Linked DNA regions of Caenorhabditis elegans. The protein of the gene in region 2 interacts with the protein of the main gene of each other region in a pairwise test. Each region holds a gene or a part of one and is shown on either strand. Other genes may lie near its edges.

Region 1 (5,174 bases), on a different chromosome or scaffold from region 2:
CACTTGTATGGTTCTCGTTTTTCGACGCCGCAGATTCCGCAAGCGAGAAATGATGAAGTTGACATCTGAATTAAATTAGATTTTATTTTATGAAAAAAAAAATTTTATAAAGAGAATAAATGGTCTTCTACCAGGATCTCTTACCAAAATGCATCATCCATTTTTTTTTCAAAAACCCGAAAATAAAAGTTCTTATTCTGAAATTTTCTGGCCCGAAAAACCAAAACCTCTGGTGTTTTTCGATTTTGAAAAATATAAGTGACGAGTTCAAAGAAGGGTTCATTTCTACGGAATGATCTCGACACGCGCGCCGAATTAATTATGAAAATTTGGTGTCACTACAGTAACCTTAAAGGTACACACATACATACACAAATTTTTCAAAATTATATCTGCGAGACCACTCAGCACACCCTCATTTGAAATCGTACAAATGGAAAATAAAATAATTTTTAAAAGTTTTCCAATGAAAACTAAACAGATAAGAAATTTGGATTTTCAACCAAAATGGAAAACTTAAATTTTAAAACCTTGAGTAAAATTAACATAATTTTATATTAACAACAACAAAACAAAAATGTCTTAAAAATCGCCAAAACAACCAAAAAGTGGTCCCCGAAGGGTATTTTTGAGAGTTTTTAACGTAAAATTGAAGGTAACAAGAAAAGTTCAACAAAAATTCAAAAAGCAACAACAAAATTAAATATAAATTTAAAAAAAAATCATCTAATCACTGTCCTCCTCCTCCTCTTCATCATCCTCTTCTTGTTCCTCCTCATCAATTTCTTCATCCGAATCTTCATCATTTCTTCGTTTTTTGCTCTTTGGCTCATCATCATCATCACTATCTGAATCGTTTTTCGGTCCAACTAATCCATCGAAAAATCCTTCAGTTTTTCTCATTTTCTTCGATTTTGCATCCTGAGCTCTAAGAATCGGAATCTCATCGATAATTGGTCCCATATCCCATTTTTTGATTGTACAGCTCATTGAGATCATTGTAAAAACTGTTGATTTGTCAGTTGAAATCTGAAAAAAATGGAATATAATTGGATGTTTTTTGAGGTACGAAATTTTAATGTTATTTGTAGAACTTGTAGTTTTATTCTTTCAAAACACTGAATTTTTAAAAATTCTTGAAAAATAAATTTTCAAAAAAAAATTTTAATGAAAATTTGTCCATTTCCATTGTATAAAACCGAAAATGTGAAAATTCCGAATAAAAAATTGTTAAATTTTAATAATTTACTGTAATTTGTTTTTTTTTTTGGAAAGAAATTCGGTTATTTCAAATTTGCTCAATTTCTCCAAAATACATAGAATTTTTTAAAAGCAATTCCCTTACCGTAATAGCATCAATACCATCATCATCACTCTTCTCATCACCATGATATCCAGCATATCCTAATCTTTTCGATGGTTGAACATTCAATAATCTCATTCGATTACTTCCTTGACTTGTTAATCCCAATAAACCACTTCTCAATTCAACAATTCCATTTACACCCATTTCAAAACCACTTTCAACTCTTTCCAACAAATTTCCATATTCATTTAAATTAAATACTTCAACATATCCATCTTCTCCTCCAACATATACCGATCGATTTGTTCCACAAACTGAATAGAGCTCCGAGTGCATTAGTTCACTTCTCATCTGCAAAATTAATGAAAATTAGAAGGAAGGTTGCATTGAGGTTACTGTAGTTTACGGTGGACAATTTGATGATCTCACTTTAAACTATTGAAAAAGGGACGAAAATTGAAAAAAAAAACGAAAAAAATTCAAAATGTTCATATTTTCCTGAAATTCAGATTTTTCGAAAAATCGACAGTTTTCGTTTTTGAAGTATATATTTTTTCAACAAAAAAAATCGAGAAATTTTCGATGTGACTACATCTGTTAAAATTTTTAGAGATTAAAAAAAAATGTTTTAGTGATTTTTTTTTCAATTTCGCGATACAATTTTTCGACATTTTCTCGCTAGACTTTTTTTATATTTTTTTCCTAAAAATAAAGCTATAAAAATGTTTTAATGTTCATAATTTACGGCAAATTTCTCAATAAATTTATTCGGAAAATGAAGAAATATCAAAACTAGAAATTTGCGCCGGAATTCCAAAAAAACCTGATCCTTGAATTTTTTTCAAAATTGAAAAAAAGTCATTAAAAATTTTGGAAATCTTTTTTTTTTTGAAAATCGAAAAATCTAAAATGTTTCTTGATTTTTTGGAATAATCCAATCCATAAATTCCTATAATTTCTATTTTAAACGAAGTTTTCATATCTTCTCACCGAAATATATATTTTAAAGCGCTTTTTTTGAGAAAAAGATTAAAATACTCAATTTTTTACCTTAAGCTTTGCCTTTCTAAGATCGTAAGCTCCAAGTGTACCATCTGAAGAAGTTGCCAATAAATTTGATTTCACATCAACTTTCAAATCATTAATATCTTCATCTTGTTCCTGCCATTTTCTAATATTCGCATTTTCCGATGCAACTTCTGGATCCAAATTCCATGTTTTCACTTCTCCCGATTCATCAGCTGTAGCCAATTGTTGAGATTTTAGAGCAGTTGGTGGAAGTGTACAAATGGCAGTTGGTACAGAACGATGACATTTTAGAATACAACGAACACTGAAAAAAATAGAGTTTTTTAAATCAGAAGGATTGTCGGTTTTCGACTAAAAAAAATGCATTTTTGCTAAAAAACATTTTTTTAAATTATGATTTTTCAGAAAATCGGATTTGATATTTTCAAAGATATCGAAAAATCAAAAAAAAATCATAATTTTCTAGTATTTCCCGATAATTTTTTTCGACAAAAAATCCTATTTCGATTTCAGCTGTAAAAAATAATTTTAAAATAGAAAACATTTTCGATCTCAGAAAAATTGTATTTTATTTTCTCGAATTTTTTGTCCGATTTTTTAAAATTATTATTGGAATTTCCGAAAATTTGATCGAAATTTTTTTTCCAGTAAAAAACAATGTTACTGAGATTTTTTTGAATCGAGAATATCAATAAAAAATTATGCTAAACATGGAAATTTTTTGCGTTTTTTCAAAAATTTAACTAATTTTCAAATAATTACCGTTTTCCCGTGTCAATATCAAAAACACAGAGAGATCGATTCTTTGTAACGGCATAAACTCGTTTCTTGTGTTCATCAAGATCAACTCCTCGAATACTGCTTTTTGTCTGAAATTTCCAGATTTCTTGAAACTCTTCCTCGTGTTGTTGGGTGTCATAGAATCGAATACTTCCATCCACAAATCCAACGACAAGGCGACTTCCATCTTTGTTAGATTTCATACAAAGTGGTGGATTATCAAATTCGACGAGCATCTGAAGTTATTTCTATTTTTGGAATACATGAATTTATACGAATATATTTTTAAAAACTGTTTAAAAATATATAAAATTGAAATGAATTTTTTCTTCAATTTTATCCCAAAAAAAAATTCCGATAGCATAATTGTTTTTGAATAAAAAAAAACAGAAAAATCGATAATTTAACACTTTTCTAATTTTTTAAAAGAAAAATGTCTAAAAAATTGAGAAAAATGCTTCGAATTGTACAACAGAGAAAAATTGAACAAGAAAACCAAGAAATTTCGCCTGAAAAAACCGACAAAATTCACAAATATTTTTTGAATTTTTGTTGAAAAATGGAAAAATCAGGAAAGCTATTTTCTTGGTTTTTAGATTTTTTTTCGTTTTTGTGAAAACACAACATTTTCTGTTTTTTTTTAACTTTAAAATATATAAATACGATTTTCAATGAAAAACGCCAAGAATATAAGCCAAAAAATGAAAAAAGCAATAAAAACATGAATAATCTTTTCATAAGGGTGAAAAATCCGTTTGAAATTGTATAAAAACCGATGAAAACATAAAATACTGAATGAAATACGACGGGCGACGATGATGAGAACACCCGAAAATACGGAAAAAAATAAGACATAGAATAACAAGAGAAAAACATATAATACAATCAAAGAAAAAAATCAACTAAAATTCAAAATCTAGCGGTGGCGGTCCTGACCGGTGTGTGGGGGGAAATAAGGTTGCTTAGAAAATGTTTAAAGCAACAAAAAAACATAGAATGAGAGTAATAAGAGATAAAAATAAATTAATACACTAAGAAAAAGTATAAAAATAAATTTAAAAAAACTGAAGAAAAATTTTTGGGGTTAGTAAAACTGAAATTGGCTAAAATCTGAATTAGGATGATTCATTAAAAATGAATGGAAAACATAATATGAAAAGTTTTTTTTGGAATGAAAAAGAAAGGGAGAATAAAAGCCATATTGAGAAAAAAGGGTGAATTGCTTGAAATCTAATTAATCAAATTTCGGAGGAGTCGCCGGTCGTGGTTTTTGTAGTTTTTCTTTCTTGAAATCCGAATAAAGTTGAGTTAGTGTGTCGTTTTTGTCGGAGCACACTGCTCGGAATTCCGATAAGAGATAATCTTGGAACTTCTCAGAACATTGACTGAAAATTTAAAAATTATTGGGGAAATTTTTTAAAAATAGTTTTTATAATTTGCGAAATTCGACTAATCGTAAAAATAGGAAATTTTCATTTTATTGGTAACTTATCCATTTTCTGTAGAATTTTTGTCCAAATATTTTCTATAAATACCTAATATCCGAGTCGTTCTTTTTTTTGAAAATTGAAAACCGAGTGCGTCAGTTTTTTAAAAACATTTTTTTCCGAAAGCGAAAGGCTTTTTATTTTGGAATTTTTTGACTGCGAAAAATATTTCGGTTTTTTCCGTTTTATTTTTTTTCGTGTTTAGATTTTTTTCAAAATCGAAAGCGCATTTTATGTGACTTTATTGTAATTTCAATTAAAATGAATATCCAAAAATAATGAAAATTTGACTTTTTCTGTGAATTTTCAAAATTTTTCAAAACGTAGTAAAATCAAAAAAATTGATTTTAAAATTTTCGTTTATAACGACTTAAAAAAAATTTCGTTTGTTTTGTTTTCTGAAAATCGAATTTTTTTTACTTTTTGGAAAAGTTGAAATTTAAAAAATAATCTCTACATTCTGCATTTTTTTCAGTCAATTTCTCGTTTTTTCGTTTTTCAAAAAAAAAAGCAGTTTCTGATAAATTTTCGATTTTCTCTGAACAACAAAGAAAATTCCTGGCTTAGAATAA
Region 2 (5,065 bases):
TTTAATATTCTATCAATAAATAAATAATTGACCTTAATTCATTCCGAAAATCGAGCCCGTAAATCGGCACAAGCGCTACAGTAGCCATTTAAAGAATTACTGTAGTTACTGTGGTTTTCGCTACGAGATATTTTGCGCGTCAAATATGTTGCACAATACGCGTTCTCAGAATTCAGTTTTCTCGTAATATGTTTCCTCTATTAAGTTCATTTGATTTTTTCAGAATGATGGAATGTGCCGAAAGTCGTCATGGCCGAAAACTATTCAGCGATCAAGAAAATATTGTTGCTCAAATGGCACCAGAGATGGATTGGGTATCTTTAAAATGTATTGTAATTTGTAATAATTGAAATTCAGGCTCCATGGATTTTAATCAATGGAACTCGATACAAAGAAGCCGAGGAAGATTTGTGGCAATTCCTTTGTGATCGATTCATCGATCCTCGACCAATTCATTGTCCAAAGAAAATCGTATACTAGACATTGAAAGTGCTTGTAAATAAAGATGTTTTCCAATTATCACGGGAATCTTTTCATTCTACACGAACATGATTATTTGATATCTGCATCCTACATCAAACAAGTAAATGGCACAAGAAAAAAGAAAAAAAAAGCAGGCTAATAATCGAGTAAGAAATGGATTGAAAAATGCAATCGTTATCTAAAATATGCTCTAAAAACAGGAGGCACCTTCAAGAAAAAAAACAGGTTTAGAGTGTTGAAAACGGGGGAATGTCTACATCAAGGGATAATTGGGCACCTAATAAAATTAACCAGATGAAACATGATACTTTACTTAAGTTGGGCGAGCATTGCAGATGGGTGTTCGAGGTAGAACTTCCAGCGATTGCTGAAGCGAGCCATTGTAGCTCCGTCCACAACTCGGTGATCTGCGCACCACGAAACTTTCATGATGTTCACAGGGATGACCTAAATAAATATTTGTTATCAACACGTCTCACAAATTTTGAAAAATATTTTCTTACATTGTCATGTTTATCGAATCGTGGGAGTTTTTCGATTTTTCCAATTGCTCCAATAGCCACTTGTGGTGGGAAGACAACTGGAGAGGCGTAGGTTCCACCGATCTTTAATTTTTTTTTACTAATATTAAGTAATTGAAAAAAGAAAACTTACATTTCCAATATTGCTCAATGAGAAAGTTCCATCAATCAAATCTTCTCTCTTAATTTGCTGTTTCTTTCCAGCCTCCAGAAGACGATTGAGCTCTTGAGCAATTTCAAAGATACTTCTTTGCTCACAGTTTTTGATATTCGGTACAACAAGCCCTCCTGGTGTGTCCATGGCGAGACAAATATTGTGAGAAGCCTGAAATTATTTTTCAAAATAGACAAATTCGAAGATTAATTATTTTTTAAAAGTAAACGTGTGAATTTCATCAGTATACCTTATGTATAACATTTTCCATTTTCTCATCAGTTGTAGAATTCAAAGATGGGTATTCGAGAAGAGCTAAAGAAGCAGCTTTGATGAAGAATGGCATGTAGCTCAATTTGATATGACGCTCTTTCGCGAATTCTTTCAGTTCAGCACGATATTTGACCAGAGAATCTACATTAATCTCATCGTTGTACCCAAAGTGTGGAATTTTGAGAGCTTCAGTCATCGTTTTGACCATCGCTCGAGTGTATCCACGAATCGGAACAGCAACATCTTCTTTGAGAGGTTCATACTAAAATAGTTGATTTGTAATTGAAACCACTTTAAAAAAATTTACCGATTTCGAAGATGGTTGTGGAGCTTGATGGGTAGTACGAATATTTGTAGATCCAGAGGTATGGTCTATAAATAAATAACATTAAAAGTTTCAAAAAGTTCTTCGTAAAAATTACCAGCCGGCACTTGTCCCAGGAACTTGAGAACGTCTTCTTTGAGAACTCTTCCGTCTTTTCCAGTTCCGCGAACTTCAGCTAGCTTGATCTTGTTTTCAATGGCAATTCTACGAACTGCTGGTGTGGCAAGAACTTTTCCTTCTGAATGAGCAGATTCTGGAGCTTTTGGCGCTGACGACTTCGGAGCTTCTGGCGATGATGAAGCAGCTTCCTTCTTCGGTTCTGAAAAAAAAACACTAGTAGAAAACAAAACACAATTTTAATTAGAAACAGAGAAGTCAGACTTCCCCTTGGGAAATCAAGTAAAATGCATTTTGTTCAGTTCTTGAAGTAGATTAAATTTCGAATCACAGATAAAATTGGCAATTATAGCTGATAGCATTTTCAAAGAAAAACTATTGCGAGATTATAACTGATAGGGAATTTCGATAAGAACATTAGAACGCATAAAAAACATACGTTCGGGTTCTTCCACGTTTCCCTCTATCTCAACATCAATGAGAGCCTGTCCAACTCGAGCCATTCCATCAACCTCATGATATCTGTAAACTTTTCTGCATTTTCAGATAAAAATGACATTTCAAGGAAAAACAGGAAAAAATTTCTTTTCAGTAATTTTTGATTTTTTGATTGCATTTTCTCCGTCATCTCCACAAAAAGCTTTATCTCTCAGCTTCACTGGTGATCAGTGATATTGTGATTGTCAATCAAGAACAGAGAAGAGACGCAGAGTAACCTGTGCAAACCGAGACGCCACGTGCCTTGTTACTTTTTACAATGTATATTAAAAAGAATTGAAACGACCAGATAGCAGGGAAACTGAAATTTTCGAATTTAGGAAGAAACTTACAATTTTTTGACAATCCCGTCGTATCTACAGGAGATGGTTACTGCTGCTTTATCACTTTGCACTTCACAGACTTTATCGAACTGCGAAATCGTATCTCCTTCTTTCACGTACCTGGAAGTTTAAAACAGTTTTGTGGAAAAATTATAAAATTCACTGGCTTTCATGCGAAACTACATCTACAGTATGACTTACCATTCCTTAACCTGAACTTCGGCAATTCCTTCTCCAATATCCGATAATTTGAATTGAACAACCGGCATAAAAGCGACTGAAACTTCGAAAATATTATATTAAAATAGATTTTTTAAACCAACCTTTAGATGTGTGAAGATGCTTATTTAATTTAAAAATTCTAGACGACGTTCCCAGGAGTCGTGCGGCCATCATTTTCGTCGGTTATTCTTACCAGTTTCTTCTTCTACAATTTTTGCGTTTACGAAATTAAAATTTATGAGAAATGACTGAGGAAAATAAAAAGGAAAATAAAAAAAAGGAAAATCCGTGGAAGCTGTGAGAAAATGAATAAAATGACAACAACGCGTCAAGGACGCATGCTGGCGCAAAGTGTCTTTGCGCATTTCTCGTGTAAACTGGCGGTTTTTCAAATTCGAATTCCAAGAAATCGCACTCTATCACGTTATGGTGCATCATGGTGCATTTTATGAAACTGTTTATTTAATTCAGAATTTCGGAAAAGCATATATATTTTTTCAGAAATTCAAAAGGTTTATTTCGTGATTTCATAAAAGAGAAAATAAAAAGAGATCAAAACCGTAACGCCCAATTTGTTTCAAAAAATTAATACCTCAAGAAACTGTGATTTTTCGTAGTTCAATAGAAAAAACAAAATATCTAAACTCAAAAACAATACTACATCAGTGTGCATTTATCTTTTTTAAGTGCGGGAGCCGAAGTTGTTGTCGCCGTGGGAACCGGTTCAACCCAAGCTTCAACTGTAGTAGATGGTGGTGACGTTGATGTAGAATTTACAGACGAAGACTGTTTTCTGAAACGCTGAAAAAATGTTGAAGGAATTATTCAGTTTATATAGTATTCAGAATTTTAGAATTTTAGAAATTTTCATTACAGATTGGATAATTGGAGAAGGTCTGAAAACTGTCAAATGAAAATATAGCTATTTAAGAGAAGAACGTTTAAATAAATAATTTGAAAAGTAATAGAGTCAAACCTCTCATTCGCGTTTAAATCTTTCTTCTGTCGTGTCAATTTCTCGATGAGGTAGGCAAATGGATGCATAACATTGAATTCTTTCAGTGCTGACACTCTGAAATTATTTTTTTATAATTTTTTTATTAAAAATCATCTGCAAACCTATAAAGTCTCTTATGTTTTTTCCTCATTTCTCCTTCAACTAATCCTTTATCCATTTGACTATCTTCCACAATATCTATTTTATTTTCTATGAACACAAGGGGAATTCTCTCTGTCGATTTTTGAATTTCATTGTATAATTCTAAAGTGTATTCGAAACTCTGAAATTATTTATTTATTTGATTTGCCAGCTTCAATCGAAATAACTCACATATACATCAGTTGTAGAAAAAACAAGAGCAATTGCATCGTGCTCTTTTGACATTCCTTCTTCCCATTTTTGTGAAACAGTTGCTTCAATTAAAACCTTCTCATCATCAACAGTAAGAGAAGTCCAAATACTTTCATTATCTCCTTCTGTGCAAAATGATCGGAGCAACGTCTTTTTACCAACCTGAATACATTTTTTTTTTCATTAAATGATTCTTAGAGTTACAGCCGTTGAAGAACAATTTTTAACATCAAAACTCAATTTTATCCACTCTGTGAGCTTAATGGGAAATTTTAAGTAGCCCTACTCATACTTTTTGAATAAAAATAAATATTTTGACTGCCACTACTCAAAATATGATACATTTTTTTAGAAACCTTTGTCAGAAAAATTCTAATAGAGAGTACATAACTAATTTAGTAAATTTAAAAACTAGAGACATTTAAATTTAAATTTTTAAAGATTTTAATTTAAAAAAATACCGATTTGCCTCCGAAAATAAGAAATTTGAAAACTCGATCATAAGAAGTTGGATCGGGAGCCATTCCTCTGAAAAACATAAGCTCATCCATTTTTCATTTGGACTGATGATGTTATCACCAATAATTCATATTGCAGGATAAAACATAGAAAAAGACAAAAATTATTGGAAAAAAAGAGTATATGGATAAAGTTAGAAATAGAGAAAACTCAATATACAAATCGGAAGTCATTTTTTCTTTTTTGGTAGCACTTTGAAATGTAGTATGAAAATATGAAAAAGAAGAAGAGAGTGAAATAGGAAATGTGTAATATACAACTTCCTGATCTATTGACACT

Evidence for each region. The genes of interacting proteins can lie anywhere in the genome.
Region 1: the proteins of dbt-1 (region 2) and Y44F5A.1 interact in a two-hybrid assay, tested with the Caenorhabditis elegans proteins (one large-scale study listed by BioGRID).

Annotation. Positions count from the first base shown.
Region 1 is NC_003281.10:4,244,321-4,249,494, forward strand, and holds Y44F5A.1 (WD repeat-containing protein 55), read right to left. Parts: upstream 3,352-5,174; coding exon 3,098-3,351; intron 2,640-3,097; coding exon 2,357-2,639; intron 1,658-2,356; coding exon 1,346-1,657; intron 1,030-1,345; coding exon 727-1,029; 3' UTR 538-726; downstream 1-537. Other genes in the region: zhit-2 (HIT-type domain-containing protein), read right to left, coding at 1-65; depd-5 (DEP domain-containing protein), read right to left, coding at 4,350-4,500.
Region 2 is NC_003280.10:7,942,086-7,947,150, forward strand, and holds dbt-1 (Lipoamide acyltransferase component of branched-chain alpha-keto acid dehydrogenase complex, mitochondrial), read right to left. Parts: upstream 3,122-5,065; 5' UTR 3,091-3,121; coding exon 3,018-3,090; intron 2,972-3,017; coding exon 2,896-2,971; intron 2,815-2,895; coding exon 2,704-2,814; intron 2,396-2,703; coding exon 2,313-2,395; intron 2,076-2,312; coding exon 1,854-2,075; intron 1,804-1,853; coding exon 1,739-1,803; intron 1,694-1,738; coding exon 1,409-1,693; intron 1,330-1,408; coding exon 1,138-1,329; intron 1,089-1,137; coding exon 987-1,088; intron 931-986; coding exon 793-930; 3' UTR 517-792; downstream 1-516. Other genes in the region: GILT-like protein ZK669.3, read left to right, coding at 224-314, 358-480; ZK669.5 (GTP-binding protein Rhes), read right to left, coding at 3,574-3,709, 3,893-3,988, 4,036-4,196, 4,247-4,429, 4,729-4,791. UniProt on the Caenorhabditis elegans protein: The branched-chain alpha-keto dehydrogenase complex catalyzes the overall conversion of alpha-keto acids to acyl-CoA and CO(2).